Arabidopsis thaliana: one gene and its partner. The protein of the gene in region 2 interacts with the protein of the main gene of each other region in a pairwise test. Each region holds a gene or a part of one and is shown on either strand. Other genes may lie near its edges.

Region 1 (7,724 bases), on a different chromosome or scaffold from region 2:
CAGCAGGTATGAATTGGGAGTCACAGAATTATCAAACTCATAGAGAAAGCAGAAAAAACAAACTCAAGGACTCAAATTGGTGATAACTGTTTCATTGCAGGTGTGGTCAGGACCTTTATCTGGTGACCGTATGGTAGTTGCTCTCTGGAACCGTTGCTCTGAGCCAGCAACTATTACAGCATCATGGGATATGATCGGTCTTGAATCTACCATTAGCGTTTCAGTAAGAGATTTGTGGCAGCACAAAGATGTAACAGAGAATACTTCTGGCTCCTTTGAAGCTCAAGTTGACGCACACGACTGTCATATGTACGTTCTCACTCCCCAGACAGTATCACACTCTGATGTATAGTTCTTTATTGTGAGGCATTCAAATCCCAAAGAACAGAGATTGCCTTTGTGTTTCTGTATACTCGTGTATCTTGTAAAACGTGAAACCTGTTGTTACCCGGACAACTTTAAATGTTTGTCACTCTCTAAACAAATTGCCAGAAGTGACAAGAAGTAAAACTGAATCTCATATAAAAATTTAGATAAAAAGTCTGAAGGATCTTGATTCCAAAGAAAAGACAAATGCCAAATCAACTCTTAATCTATACCACTTTTGTATATTCTGACCTACCAACAATGAAGAAGAGATCTCTAATGAAACATTGGTCAAAACAAGTTCCTGATGGATCTTTTGAATCCTATATAGAGTTTTGAATACTAAATAGAGTTTGTCCATGTGGTTAAGAGAACCTAGTAATCCTGAAGGTGTCAAGATAACAACCAAAGCTTCGGTCACAGTCACTAAAAGTCAAGAGCCGTTCATGGTTTGGGAGGATCTGATACTCTCTTCTTTGCCATTTTCCAATACCAATGTGCTTGAAGTTCTAGGTTCTACTAGGTTTTCTGGTGGTGGAAATTGGCAATTGTCATCAAGCTCCAAATTCGCAGATCTTTGAGATTTCAGCACACTCTCTGGTCTCACACATTCTTCTCCTTTGTTACTGGTACAAGAAGTAGACACTTCACCGGAAAGATTGCAGCAACTACTGGCTCCATCATTGTCTATTGCCTCAGAGGAAGCTTCTAAATGATTCGTTGATGAGGTTCCAGTACCTGATTCTCTGAACCTGTCAGAGTATACCTGTTGACTCTGCAACAACCATTGAGAAGCAATTCAGAAGCTTGCAGCAATAAGTTAATTTTTAAGCCAAAATGTCCGTCAAAGGGGTTAATCGCATACCATGTCAGGAATATAAGTGCCGGTTCCTCTCGTCTTTCTCATGTTTTGACAGCCATTAGGTAAAGAATGCAAAGGAAAAGGCTGCATAGAGGTTGATACATTGAGACTTCTAAGATGGAACTCGTTCTTTCGGTAAGTCACAAGGTGACGAACAATATCCCAACCACTCAGGTGAGAACTAACCGGGATATAGCCATGCTGAAATGTTCCAGGTAAGCTATGCCCATGATACATTTGCCCATACACAAGTCTTCCAAAGGAACTATCGAAATCTCCACTAAGTTCAGATAATTCTGATCTTCCAGTACCGAAAGCAGTAACGGGATCATTCACATCTTGCCTTTGTCCCTTACCATTTCTCTCCAAAGAGTTACGAAAGAACTTCTCCAATCTCCATCCCATGGTGTCACCAGGTAGTGAAAGAACATCTCTTAGCTTTCGAGCTCCAAGTGTAAAAGCATGTCTTATTCGTTGGACATTTCCTAACAAAATGTTTTTAAAATAATTAATATTTGACAACTGCTATATTGGTTGTATAACTTTTATCAATAGAGTACCTTGTGTAACACTTTTGCCGAGGTTGTTGCTGTATTTTAGAGGATCAACTATGTTGAGATGTTTGATAGGAAACTCAAGACCATTTGAGTCAACAGCTTTAGTTGGAGCAGAATATAACTCTACACAGTTTCTTAAAAACTTCTCGTCAAGTAATAACTCATGCCCATTTTCTGGAGATGCTGCTGGAAAGATAGAAAGAGAAAGAACCAAATTAAAACGTCAAATAGCGCCAAGAAAATGCCACGAAGAGAAGTATCTGTGATTTTTGGCATCATCCTTACCTGTAAGTTCTGGAAGGGACGATATTGGCACAGGACCATTGACACTGATACAGTAGTTGTTCCAATCAAATGAACCATAGTAATCCAAGAACTTATACAGAACCTGTTGAAAGACAATGCTATATTCTCATCTTTTGCATATATGTAGAGGATGCTGAAGGTTCAGAAAAAGAGTGATTACCGCTAAAGGGCCAGATAAAGATGAATGAAACAGGTTGATGATGTACAAAACTAGTACTGCCAATGCATATGTTGAGATCAATCCAGTGTTAGCACCAAGAATTCGACTCTCGTAATAGCACCAAGCTTTGACAAGGATGATGCTACGCTTGAAAAGATGATCTCTCCCAAAGAGTTGGTCAACCTGAGAATACATAAAACCAGAGTTTAACCAACAACTAAGAATCAAAGCTAGGCAATAATCTGTTTAGTAAACCTCTGGAGCCTGATTTTGAATAGCTGATAGTACCTGCTCCAGAAAACATAAAGCACAGAGACCTGCCGTTTGATTAAAAGAGATATCAACAGCAATGTTCCTGATATTGCATTTTATGACCTTGACCTATCATATATCAGCAAACTTTCTTAAGGAAAATTTGGGCAACCAAGAAAATACAAAAACGAAACCAAAAAGTAAATAAACAAAGAGACCTGTGCAGGGATAAACTGAACATCTGTTGCATGGAATTCAGATTCTCTTTCTTCATTCTGAAGCCTACTGCACAATTGTCCATAAAAATCGTCATCCATATTTTGCTTAGTTAGGACAGTCAGATCGATATCCCCGTCCGGGAGATAGGTTTTTAGTGGCACTGAACCAAATGAAAAGACCTGTAGATAAACAAGTTCCCATAGAAAGTTAACAAAACAGCATAAATCTTTAACATGTCAGCAAAGAGAAGCGGAGTTTCTAACCTCAATTCCCTCATGACTCATGATAAGAGTTCGTACATAATCAATGATCTCATTCCTACTTCTGTCTGAAACAAGGGCAGGTTGGATAGTGCAAAGTATCTCATGAGCTCTCTCCTCTGCAATCATCCAAGAATCTGCATCTATCGGCAATGAATCTCCTTTAGGTAGTGCCGTTGATAGTGACAATGAGGATGATGAAGAAGACGAAGATGATGAAACTGACAATCTTTCTTGAATTTCACCCATGTGCGCATAACTTCAAACTAACATCAGAGTGATAACACAGGAATCCTCAACAACTCAATGAGCCCCTTATATAATTATGATATCTACAAACAACAGAACAAACAGAATTACAAAATATTTCAAATTGGCCTTTTTGTCATCACATTAGACAGAGAAAAAGAAAAAAATGAAGTCAAGGTAAAAGTTGATTGTCTAATAACTAGAGCTCCCAAATTTGATTAAGAACAATCGAGGCTAATCCAGAGAGTGAGTGAGATTACATCCTAAGCAAGAGACATAAAAAAATGAAACAGAGCATGCCAATAGTGAATTCAGTGTTAGGTAGGTACCCTAATGTTTAGCTTCTCAGAGCAAAATCGAATATTTATAAAGGAAAACAAAACAAAACAGCTAAACTATCCTGCGTGAGTGATGATTATACCTTAGGAAAAAATGACTATTAGCTCAGAAGTCTCAGCTCTGTCTCTTCCAAAATCATTTTTTTTTGTTGACAAAATTGAGAGGTTTAAGTAGTGAAAGGCGTACCTGCGGTTTTAGACCAGTTGTCCAGAGATTCTTTGGGCTAATCTTTGAATATTCAAGAAGCTTTAATTCCTGCTAACAAACAAACAAAAAAAATCAAAACTTGGAACAGGGTTTAAGATTTGTAACGAATCGACATTTTCACACGAAAAAAAATATGACATTTTGGTTTTCATCTTTAAGCTTCACAAGGACCACGAAGATGGATTAAGACAAAAGAGAAAACCCCAAAAATCAAAAAACGAGATTCACACGAAACATCATTTTGCTTTCTCCGATAACGAGGATTAAGAGGCAAATTAAGCTTGTATTCATTGGATTCCTAAAGATTAAGCAAAGATTATCTCACCTCGAAACAAAATTTCCAGCTTTAGTTTTTTTTGGATCTTATGGATAATAAACGTTACACCAAAAACTTTTTTGAAACACAAAGGGGAAAAGAAATAAAAACCCAGATAAAAACAGATATGAGTCAGTAAAATGAAACGGAAGGGATTGTTTACGAATACCGATTTGTATTCATTGATCAGGAGAAGAGAAACCGATACTATAAACTTTTTTTTAATTGAGGGGAGAAAGAGAATTATCACCAAGACAAAAAATTAAGGGATAATATAAGCAAAAATAAAATAAAAAATTATGGAAGGTTCATAATAGTGGAGACTCTAAAACAATCTGCCATTTTTGTATCAATGAGAAAAAAATTAACTTCACCTGCTCCTCTCAAATAATTTTCAACCCAAGAAAAAAAATAGATTTTCTTCATTCTTGTTGGAGACTCTTAGTCTCTATGATCTTCATGGTCAATGTTTTTGAATGATTCAACAAAAACCCTAATTTCTCCAAATTCCAAAACCCAGAATTCCAGAAACAGTAGAAACTCAATTCCATGAAAGGGAAAAAAGTGTATCGTATCTTTAGGTGGACTCGAGTATAGACGATTACACAAGTGGGACCCAACTAATCATAAGATTGACGACGTGGCCTACTAATACGAGGTTTTTATCTCTTCCGTACACGTGGCATAATATCGGACGGACTAATTTAGATAGACGATTAAAAAAAAAAATCAAGCAAAACAATCAGATTTTTTTTTTCCCGCTATGTTGTTGACTCTCTCTCCTAAAACCCTATCTTCTTCTTCCTTCTTCACTGTGCACAAATCGCAAAACCCTAAATGTAAATCTCCAGATTCATGTCGATTCAAGAGCTTGAAATGTAGTTTTGATCGAATTTTAGTGAAATCCGAGGTTCAAATTGAGAGGAATCTCGAATTTGAAACGGGAGAGACATTTTTCCGCCATGAAAGCGCTAGAGGACGAGACCTCGGTGTTTTGTCAGCGACGCTATACAAGAGATCTAATGGAAGCTTACGGGTACTCGACGCAATGTGCGGATGTGGAATTAGGTCGCTTCGTTATCTTGTGGAAGCTGAAGCTGATTTCGTGATGGCGAACGACGCAAATGATGATAATCGGAGAGTGATTACGGATAATTTGAGTAAAGTAGAGAGAGGTACTGGAGATGAGAGGAGATGGGTTGTGACTCATATGTTGGCTAATAAAGCGATGATTGAGAGATATATGGTTGCGGATTTCTTCGATATGATTGATATTGATTCGTTTGGAAGTGATTCTTCGTTTTTGAGAGATGCGTTTAATGCATTGAGATTGGGTGGTTTGCTTTACTTGACGTCGACTGATGGTTACTCTTCTGGTGGTCACAGACCTTATAAGTGAGTGAAAGCAATACCATTAGTCTTTGTGGTATTTTAGGAATCATGATATGATTTAGGGACTAGGAGATTGAAAGTTGAAAAATTTCTTGGTTTGTTTTGGTGTAGTTCTTTAGCAGCTTATGGAGCATTTATTCGACCAATGCCGTTTGGGAATGAGATTGGGCTGCGGATGCTTATAGGTGGAGCAGTGAGAGAAGCTGCTCTGCTTGGTTATCATGTTACGCCTCTTTTCTCGTACTATTCTTATCACGGACCTGTGTTTAGAGTCATGCTGAGGGTTCACCGTGGGAAGCTACATGAGGACAGGTTGTTTCTACATTTAGAATTTGACTCGAAAGGAATTGAGTTTTGGTTATGTTGCGTTTCTAATTGGAGTTGTTTTGTGTCTTTTAACTGTAGGAACTATGGTTTTGTCACGCACTGTAATCTATGTGGCCATTCTCATACATTGAGATTCGATGAACTTGGTTTGATGGGATGTCCCTGCAGTGATACAAAGGCTTCTTCTTCACTGGTTGTGTCAGGACCAATGTGGCTCGGACCGCTTCATGATGCATCCTATGTTACGGAAATGCTGGAATTGGCAAAGGAATGGGGATGGGTCAGTGAAGGCACTGGCATGGATCTGGACAAGCTTCTCAGTATAATGATTGAAGAAAGTGATCCCAGACTACCACCTGGATACACAAAAATGGATGAGGTCCTCTAAAACCATGATTTTAATTTCATTGATAAGATAGACGCATTTCATTCACATTACATGATAAAAGATTTGTTTTCGTGATTAGATGGCGAGCCGTGCGAAGATGAACTCACCTCCGTTGAAGAAGATGATGAGTGCACTAGTTAAGGTAAATAGTAGTTAGATTCTCACAGCTTTGATCTCTGAAGAAACTGATCTGAAGGTACAAAGTTAAAAAGCTCTGCTCCTTGGATTTTTGCAGGAGGGTTACGCTGCTAGCAGATCTCACATTATTCCCAATGCTCTTAAAACAGATTGTCCCATGTCCCATTTTGTTAGGATTGCCAAGGAAAATTTGCATAGTTAACTTTTTGTTATAATCAAGTTTAGAGATTTTTTTAAGCCTCTGATTATACTTTACAAAGCAATCATACCCAACACTCGACTATATTATTTGTTGCTTTATGCTAAGTAGGGAGATACAAGTACTTAGCATCGCTTAAGAACGAGCGAAGCTTCGGTCATTAAATATTTCTCTGAAAAGAAGGTATGAAGTTGCAAAAATCAAAAAAGAGGAAAAATCTTGGTCAAATCAACTGGTAAAATGGTCTGAAACGTTTAAAGCTCCAATATGGCGAAATCATCTTTAACAAAATGTAGAAAACATCTTCAAAAATTTCAGACAAAAGAGAGATTGAAACTAGAATATAAGAAGTTTCGGATTGCCAGCTTCTTGAAGTCTTCAGGCACGAGGAGCAGCAGGAGCACCACCGGCAGGGCGAGGAGCCTGACCAGGTTGTGCAGGCTTGGGTGTATCCTCCTGAGAATTAATCATTTTTGAGACAATTCAGAAAAAAAGCTTGCAACATAACATTAAAGAAGCTACATTCACCATCAAAACAAAACGTAGCATGTAAAGTGTCACGGTTTGGAACAGGACAACAATCATATGAAACAACTACAACAATGAGATACAGTGTCGAGCTCACATTCGAATATAATTGCTGTATTTGGAGAAAGTGAAACTACATAATTCCGCTTCAAACCAATTCACCTTTCAAACCATTATTATCAAAATGCCACCAAGACCTTTTATCTAAGACTGATTTAAGCAAATTTGCTGAAGGACACGAATGGATTCATTGTACTGAGAGGTTACCTTGCGTCTGGCAAAACGAGGTGGTGGGGTACGAACTCTACGGTTGGTGCGGGATCGGACTCTCACAACGTGAGAATGGATAGCACACGAGACACAGTACTGCGTCTTAGCGTAAAGCTTTGGGAGAGTGTAACCTACCAATGCAATACAAATACAAAACCAATTACACTCTGAAGTCTCAAAACAAAATTCCAAATACACAATTAACAATGCATAACAAGAATCTATCAACACATACCTTCGTAGACGCTAGCTTCTTGAACATCTCTAATAGCAGCCTGCTCAACAATGTTCCTTACGATAAATCTCTTAATCGCCTTGTCCTATCAACAAGAGAGCCAAAACCAGATCGATACATTTTCAATCTTAAGACAAATCTAGAACCGGGAAAT
Region 2 (7,866 bases):
TTTGACAGCAATAATGCATTCTTCCTCTTCAGGAGAAGAGGACATTGCCACACCACTTACCAATTCAGTTTGAGAACCATTTAGACTAGGACGAGGAGGCAGATCAATGATCTTGGGATTTGATTTAGACCTCGAGGGATAGTTGCTGATTAGTATGTAATCAGGGGAGCTGAGATAAACACCCCATCCATGGGAACTTCCCACTAGCTTAGACTTAATCAAATTTTTGGGAAGTGGCTTATCAACGGTGGTGAAATAATCCTCTTTGGCCGGGTCCAACATGAGGAACTCTGTTCTTTGGGCTTCTTCACCACAAGGGATGGCATGATGCAGCAAAAAAGGGTTGGTGGTTGAGGAGGAGAACATCCTAAAGGTGTTACATCTCTGTGGGATGAGTAAAGAAGTAGACATTAGAAGAAGAGGAAGAATAAAACAGAGATTATATAAAAACTAGAAACAGAGAGAGATTGAAGAGATTTACGAGAGCAAGTTTGTGGAGAGAGGACTTGGAAGAGAATCTGAGAAGCAGAGACGACATAGCTTTGCGTTGATAGTGAAGAATCAAAAAGAAATAAAGAAAGGGTTTTCGAGTTAGTCAACCAAGAAAGTCCCTTCTTGACTCGATCTAAGACCAAAGTGCCTGGCCACAAGAATAATGTCTCTCTCGTTTTTATCTTTGTTTCCACGTTTCTCCACATTTCCTTTTTCCCTTATTATATAATCTTATGAAAATGGAAACGAAATATCTTTGTTATCAAATTTGTGCACAAGATTCTTTACTTTGCACCAATTATTTTTTCTTTACTTTTCCTTTGATGACCTATGTGAAAACCCTTTTGTTTCTTTTTGATTTTTTCACATATCAAAGCAAAAGCTATGTCGTCTCTGCTTCTAAGCCTCTCTTCCAAGGCCTCTCTCCGTAAACTTCCTCTGGTAAATCTCTTCTAGTTTTTGTATATAATCTCTGTTTCCTTCGTCTTCTTCTTCTGATGTCTATTTCTTACTTTTCACCAGAGATGCCACACTCTTCGGATGTTTTCCTCCTCTACCACCAACCCTTACTTGTTGTATCGTGTCATAAACTATGGAAGTTCTATGGATGATATTCATGTAACAAGTAATATCCACTATTTTGACCCGGTGAAGGAAGATGAAGTTATTGTCCGAGACAAGGTATTACCAATGGAGTTGCGTAAAGGGTGTCTGGTCGGAATGTCCCATGGTTGGGGAGTTTTCAAGGCCGTGTGTGATTATAATGAATATAAAGCCATATATGTTACTGACTACTACAATCCATGTGGCTCCAAATCTGTCAAAAGCATTCCTTTGCATCCCCTTGGTAAACCTATAGCTATCCAACAACAAGCTATCACTAACGCCGCAATGACTTGTTCACCTGATCAAAGCAAAGATTTTGCAGTTGCTGTCAAGTGTTTAGGACCTATGATCAATTTCAATAGGCCTGGTGGCACACACAAGGACTCGGGTTCGGTCATCTTTAAAACCCCTTTTCAATATTTTGATCAATCAAAGGTTATGTATTCAAAGAGAGATGAAAAGTTCTACACTCCTAGTTTTGGAGGGCACTTCTTGGTTTTTTGGGATTCTTTCTTCGGAGAGGATATGACCGGCTCTGAGTTGGTTGAGTTGCGGTTTTGCAACGTTCCTAAGTTGACCCAGTCCGAGTGGGAGCTCTTGGACTCATGTTCCAAGACTGTATACCTTGTGGAGTCTCCCTCAGGCCAACGTTTCCTAATCAAGTAGTACGCTCAGAACCACCAACCAGGTGATTCGATGACATTCCTGTGTCGCGGAACAAAGCGTTTCATGGTGTTTAGAGAGCTGGAAGAAGATAAAAGGACCATGTGTTACACGGAGGACATTGGAGATCTCTGCATATTCTTAGGCAATAATGAGCCCTTTTGTGTCAAGGCAAGCTCATTCCCTGGTCTAAACCCTAACTCCATCTATTTTGCAGGCGATGGCTTCGGTGTTTACGATATCGCCACTAGAAAACCACGTTCCTTCCGTCCCAAGTCTCCCTCAGCCTTCTCGTCAGCATCACTCCTCCCTTACTGGATCCCTCCAATGTCTCTTTAGTTTACTTGTTCTTCACTAGTCATGTTCTGTAACTTTTGTTTTTTATGCTTATAATTGTTCTTTTGCGAGCCCTTGGACGTTGGCCGCCATCTTCATACGAGTTAATAAATTTTGGTGTGAGGAAATATACGAGTCAATTTATGAAACGAAGGTAGTAACTTTCGTAATTCCTTTTTTTTTTTTTTTTTTCTCTGGTTGTATGAATCATTCATCATCGATATCTTATACTTTTGTATCATGATCGTATGGATCATTCATCATGGACCTTGAGGGGTTACTCAATAGAGAGCAGTAGTGTGGAAGACCTTCTTGGTATGACTAAGCTCAGAACTCTCACGGTCCATTCCCTTGATGGTTGTACGTTAGAAACTCTGTCTGCATCTCTCTGTGAATCGAGAGAACTCGGGCAGCTTTCATTGTACGAGGTCATGCATGATAGGCATAATGAAGGAAAATTAGTTCTTGATTTGATTCAACTCAAATTTTTAACGGTGGGCATGCATATGCCTAGGTTGCCTGATCAACATCGATTCCCTCCAAACCTTACGAACATATGTCTTCGGTATTGTTGCATGGAAGATGATCCAATGCCGATTCTAGAGAAGTTGCTCCACTTGAAATTGGTTGAATTATCATATGGTGCTTTCACTGGGAAGAAGATGGTGTGTTCAAAAGGTGGGTTTCCTCAATTGTATGAGCTAAATTTATGATTTGGAAGAGTGGATAGTAGAAGAAGGCTCCATACCATGTCTCCATACTTTGACTATAAATGAATGCAGAAAGTTGAAGGAGCTTCCGGATGAGGTCATATACATAACATCCTTAAAACAACTGACAATTGGAGGAAGGAATAGTGAATGGGTGTGGAAATTGTCTGAAAGAGGACAAGATCACTACAAAGTTCACCACATTCCTTGTGTTCAGTTTATTTACTAGACCTTTGTCTAATTTTATGTATAAAAATTATAACAATGTAGAAAACTACAACACAAATGAGATCAAATTCTGATTTTTAAAATCCGGTTGTGATGATTATTAATCGTGGAAAAAAATCAGGGATTATAACTTTTGTTAAATTGTGAACGTACAATATTGAACTGAAAATGCCAAATGAATTGGTTATTATTACTTTGATGAAAATGAATTGATCGTTTAATTTTTTTTATATTTATAACAAAAATGCGATATGCTCTTTTTAATTCTTTATTTCTATTTTTGCTTCAGAATTTTTTTTCATTTTATTTTTGGTCAAAAAGGTTATTAATTTCCTTTTCAATTTGTACGAATTTAAACGGTGACGTTTTTGTTTAAATTATCAAACAAATCAAAACAAAATCAATAAAATCTAATCTCTCATCATGAGGCATCTTTGACTGCTCTTTAATTCACTAAAAAAGTCTAAAACCCTAACCATTGCCCTTTTTCAAACGAAGAAGAAGAAGACGAAACGCTACCATCATCTACACACACACACCCAACTACTTTTTTCCATCGCCGGCCTGTACAAATGTCGACTACCCGTAGGATCCGCGGCGAGAATCGGTTTTATAACCCACCTCCGATGAGAAAACTTCAACAAGAGCGTGAGAAGAAGAGACTTGAAGCGGAGGAGATAGAGAAAGAGAAGAAGAAGGCAAAGGAGATTCTCGATCGAAAGATTAAAGTCGAGGAGAAGGAGATTAAGCAACCTGAGGAGTGCTCGACCTCCGATTGCTCTGTGCCGAGTCGGGTCTCCTCCACCACCACCACCACCGGAACTACTTCTTCCAATTTGGGCCGGTTTCTGGATTGCACCACTCCAATTGTTTCTACGCAGCACTTGCCTTTGGTAATTACTCCGATTTTGAAGTTTTACTTGAATCGACGACTTGGGTTTGGGCAGTTTTAGAATGAGAACATTAGCATCAAGCGTTGAAAATGGGAACTTTTTATCAATTCTTGGGAACGATTATGATCTCAGTCTCTTATTGAAGATAGAATTGGTTTCAGGTTTTAGAATTTATCGCTATTTAGGATTGTAGATTTGAGAAACAGATTCAGTTAGTAGAACAATTGTGATGTTGTTGTGGTCAGTCATAGTTTCTGTGTTTTTGCTTCAGACAAGTAGTAAGGGGTGGAGAACTCGTGAACCAGAGTACCGTCCCTATTTCTTGCTGAATGATTTGTGGGATTCATTTGAGGAATGGAGCGCCTACGGTGTCGGGGTTCCTCTTCTTTTAAATGGGATCGATTCGGTTGTTCAGTATTATGTTCCTTATCTCTCTGGTATTCAGCTTTATGAAGACCCATCTAGAGCCTGCACAACTAGGAGGTGAGTTCTTACATTCTGCTTATATTTTTGATTGTTTCCTATCAACCATTAGCAGTAGTGATCGGGTTCTTTGCTCGTTGATTGGTTCTTCTTCTGATAGAAAAAAGGATAGCAGTTGGCTTTTTTGTCAATTTATATATTTTGAGATGAAGCCACTTCTTTCTTGGGTTGTTCTTAATCTTCGGATGCACGTTCTTTAGGAGATAGGAAAACCAACTTCTAAGCGTTCTCTGCTACAATATCTAGAGATATTCATTTGGATGACTAATACACAACAACTTTTATGCTCTCAAATACTAGTCAGTGGTTCAAGTTTATCATGGTGTTGAATTCCAAATTTGTTTCATCTCGTTGGTTTTCTCTTTAATTCCCAATTCGTTTCTGCTTTCTAGAGTAAAATTCGTTGTTTTGATGTTTGTTCTTAAACAGGAGAGTTGGTGAAGAAAGTGATGGTGATTCGCCTAGAGACATGAGTAGCGATGGGAGCAATGACTGTAGAGAGCTTTCTCAAAATTTATACAGAGCCTCTTTGGAAGAGAAACCTTGCATTGGTTCATCGAGTGATGAGAGTGAGGCCAGCAGTAACTCTCCTGGTGAACTTGTCTTTGAGTATCTTGAGGGTGCTATGCCATTTGGCCGTGAACCATTGACCGACAAGGTATGTTTATTATGTAATTAAAGTGGCTCAACTTCTCACATTGGTGTTCAATTTCATAGCCGGCGAAATTGTTCTGTCCTGTGTCATAATAATGTTTAACCTTAATATTGCAGATCTCAAACCTGTCATCACAATTCCCAGCACTCAGAACATACAGAAGCTGTGATCTATCACCTTCGAGTTGGGTCTCTGTTGCTTGGTACTGCATCTAACATGTCCCTTCCACATTTTCATGAGTATATTTTTTCCAATCACTCTCTATAAATATTGATTTCTTCTCGCATTCTTGAAGGTACCCAATATACCGAATACCATTAGGTCAATCGTTACAAAACCTCGATGCTTGCTTTTTAACATTCCACTCGTTGTCAACACCCTGTCGAGGTAGGCCTGCTCTGCATATTTAAAACATAGTCTATACATGGGCTTATTAGAAACATCGCAAATCAACTCTTGTATTACTGGTAAAAGGTACAAGCAATGAGGAAGGTCAAAGCTCAAGCAAATCGGTTGCATCGGCGAAGCTTCCATTGCCCACTTTCGGTCTCGCATCCTACAAGTTTAAACTGTCAGAATGGAGCCCAGAGAGTGACGTAGACGAGAACCAGAGAGTCGGGACGCTGCTACGAACAGCTGAAGAGTGGCTCAGGCGGTTGAAGGTGATTCTACCGGACTTTAGACACTTCATATCGCATAGTGGTTCGGCGTGGAGATGATGATATTTAGAGTCATTTTCTAAACTCTAAATAAGGAGAGTGATATATAGCAAAAGTGAAATATCTTTCAGCTACTTTTGTTTGTTTTGTTGAAGGAAAATGAGAATCTGTATAGACACTGATCGTACATTTGTTTAATTACTGGGAAAACTTATGTAATTGAAACAGTTTGGAAAAAAAGAAAAAAAAAGTTGGTCGAAGAGAGTTTCTTCTGCTTTATGATCGTTATAGTTTCGTTATTGTGTATAATATATGAATGTGTAGACTGTGAGCGATTTGTATTTAAGTATAAGTAAATGATTAGGGCTTTAGTAACAAGATGCTCTCGTAGCTCAGTTGGTTAGAGCACCCGTTTAGTAAGCGGGAGGTCTTGAGTTCAACTCTCAACGAGAGCATTTATTTATTATGTGTTGCTCATATTTATCTTTTTGTGTGTGTATACTACTATGTGTTTTGTCTTGAAGAGTTGCGTATGATAATTGTTCCACGTTAACGTACGGCCTCTTTTCTTCGGACAAGACCGATGACACCTCAACCCCAAAAACATTTTTGCTGTTTACACAAGTGATATTTAGATATCTTGCTTCACTTAATTTTATCAATTGCCGACACTTGTATTAATATTGCTAATTATCACTTAATTATTAATTGCCAAAAACACGATTTAACTGCTCATTCACGTGAATATTTGATTACTCAAAAGTACTATTTAGATGTGTAGAGAGAGTCGATTGACAAAAAAAAAAAAAAAAAAGATGTGTAGAGAGAGTTCAATGTCGATAATTGCAAATAACGTCAGTATTCCTAAAAAAGAGTTGGGTCAAAGATGGTTTCAATTGGCTAAAGAAGTGGCTGGTTTCACATGCGACACTTACATTTTTCAAATAATGTTATTTAATTCTTATCCACTTACCATTAACACGTTGCATCACAGGGAAGCTCCTCCGCAAATTGACTCCACACCAACTATCAATTTTGTGGTCACTAACTTTGAGAAACAAGACTTTTAAATTACAGGAAATATTTTTTTTTGTAATTGTTTTACCAAAAATAAGTTGCATAAAAATTGGTATCTATATATATATGAATACGTTATACGTCTACGGATTAGACCAAGTAAAATTTTAGAACTTTTGTATGCGTGTTATGGATATGGTATAGAAATATATTTTACAAATAATCAAAGTGGTTAACTTTATCTTTTGTAACTTAGATATAATTTGAAAAACTTTCAGTTATCTTACCAGGTTGTATTCCAATAAGCAGGGATAATCTATATTTTTTTTTAAATGTAACTAAATATTTTACTTAGTATTTGTGGCTAAAGAAAAAAGGTTGACGAGTAATGTTGTATAGTGGAAATCAAACATAGGAGGAGATCCACCAATATCACTTATCAAAGTGCGTTGTTGCCACTTTTCCCCAATACTATTGGACGCGTTACAAACAAAAAAAAAGACATATGTGAATCATATGAATGTGTCTCTAAGGTTTATTGTTTCCTTTATTATAAGGTTTCGACCAGGCAAGTGGCAATGCAATTGTGCACTTCTTTTTGTTTCGTTTCCTTTTTCTTTTCCTTTGTCTTATGCTTGCTTAATAAGAAAAAGTTAAAAATGAAAACAGGGTGATGTTCGATAAATGACCACTAAACATTTGGTATTGTCAAACACAACAAATTGTTTTACACTTTAATTAGTTTCAAGGGCCGAATCTGGTGTAATCTCTAAATGTTATCAGAACAATCATCGAGGGGAAGAGTTGCTGACATTATATGACTTTACTCGTGAAGTCTTTTGGGAGGCGTTTGTAGCGATCTTGATCCAAAGTCACTTAAGTTAAGGAATTGACTTTCACCTAAATGTTAGTATTTTTCTTCAATTTAAATGGGGCAAGTTTTGTGATCGGTTTAAAGAACTTACCAAGCTGGAGTTAGTAAACGATCTACAATTGATCCAACTAAAGGAAGTAATTGTTAATGGCTATGAACATATGAAAGAAAGGTCGAAACCCGTAAATCAAGGTTCGAGTACGGATTAACAAACGAGTGGCTCGGATTTACGAGGAGTGACTCGGATTTA

The links. Proteins that work in one complex are often made in the same cells at the same time.
Region 1: the proteins of AT4G16100 (region 2) and AT3G56320 interact in a two-hybrid assay, tested with the Arabidopsis thaliana proteins (one large-scale study listed by BioGRID).

What each region holds. Positions count from the first base shown.
Region 1 is NC_003074.8:20,885,394-20,893,117, forward strand, and holds AT3G56320 (PAP/OAS1 substrate-binding domain superfamily), read right to left. Parts: upstream 4,411-7,724; 5' UTR 4,103-4,410; intron 3,910-4,102; exon of another isoform or gene 3,826-3,909; 5' UTR 3,757-3,825; exon of another isoform or gene 3,561-3,756; intron 3,315-3,560; 5' UTR 3,232-3,314; coding exon 2,986-3,231; intron 2,902-2,985; coding exon 2,722-2,901; intron 2,633-2,721; coding exon 2,540-2,632; intron 2,435-2,539; coding exon 2,252-2,434; intron 2,174-2,251; coding exon 2,071-2,173; intron 1,972-2,070; coding exon 1,789-1,971; intron 1,714-1,788; coding exon 1,232-1,713; intron 1,142-1,231; coding exon 800-1,141; 3' UTR 501-799; downstream 1-500. Other genes in the region: AT3G56310 (Melibiase family protein), read left to right, coding at 1-6, 101-352; AT3G56330 (N2,N2-dimethylguanosine tRNA methyltransferase), read left to right, coding at 4,857-5,488, 5,597-5,797, 5,891-6,191, 6,280-6,342, 6,436-6,540; AT3G56340 (Ribosomal protein S26e family protein), read right to left, coding at 6,916-6,993, 7,333-7,466, 7,571-7,655.
Region 2 is NC_003075.7:9,102,202-9,110,067, forward strand, and holds AT4G16100 (heat shock protein, putative (DUF789)), read left to right. Parts: upstream 1-3,451; 5' UTR 3,452-3,607; coding exon 3,608-3,928; intron 3,929-4,199; coding exon 4,200-4,411; intron 4,412-4,840; coding exon 4,841-5,069; intron 5,070-5,182; coding exon 5,183-5,268; intron 5,269-5,361; coding exon 5,362-5,453; intron 5,454-5,540; coding exon 5,541-5,785; 3' UTR 5,786-5,958; downstream 5,959-7,866. Other genes in the region: AT4G16080 (hypothetical protein (DUF295)), read right to left, coding at 1-411; AT4G16090 (uncharacterized protein), read left to right, coding at 877-933, 1,015-1,764; AT4G16095 (RNI-like superfamily protein), read left to right, coding at 2,346-2,762, 2,890-3,036.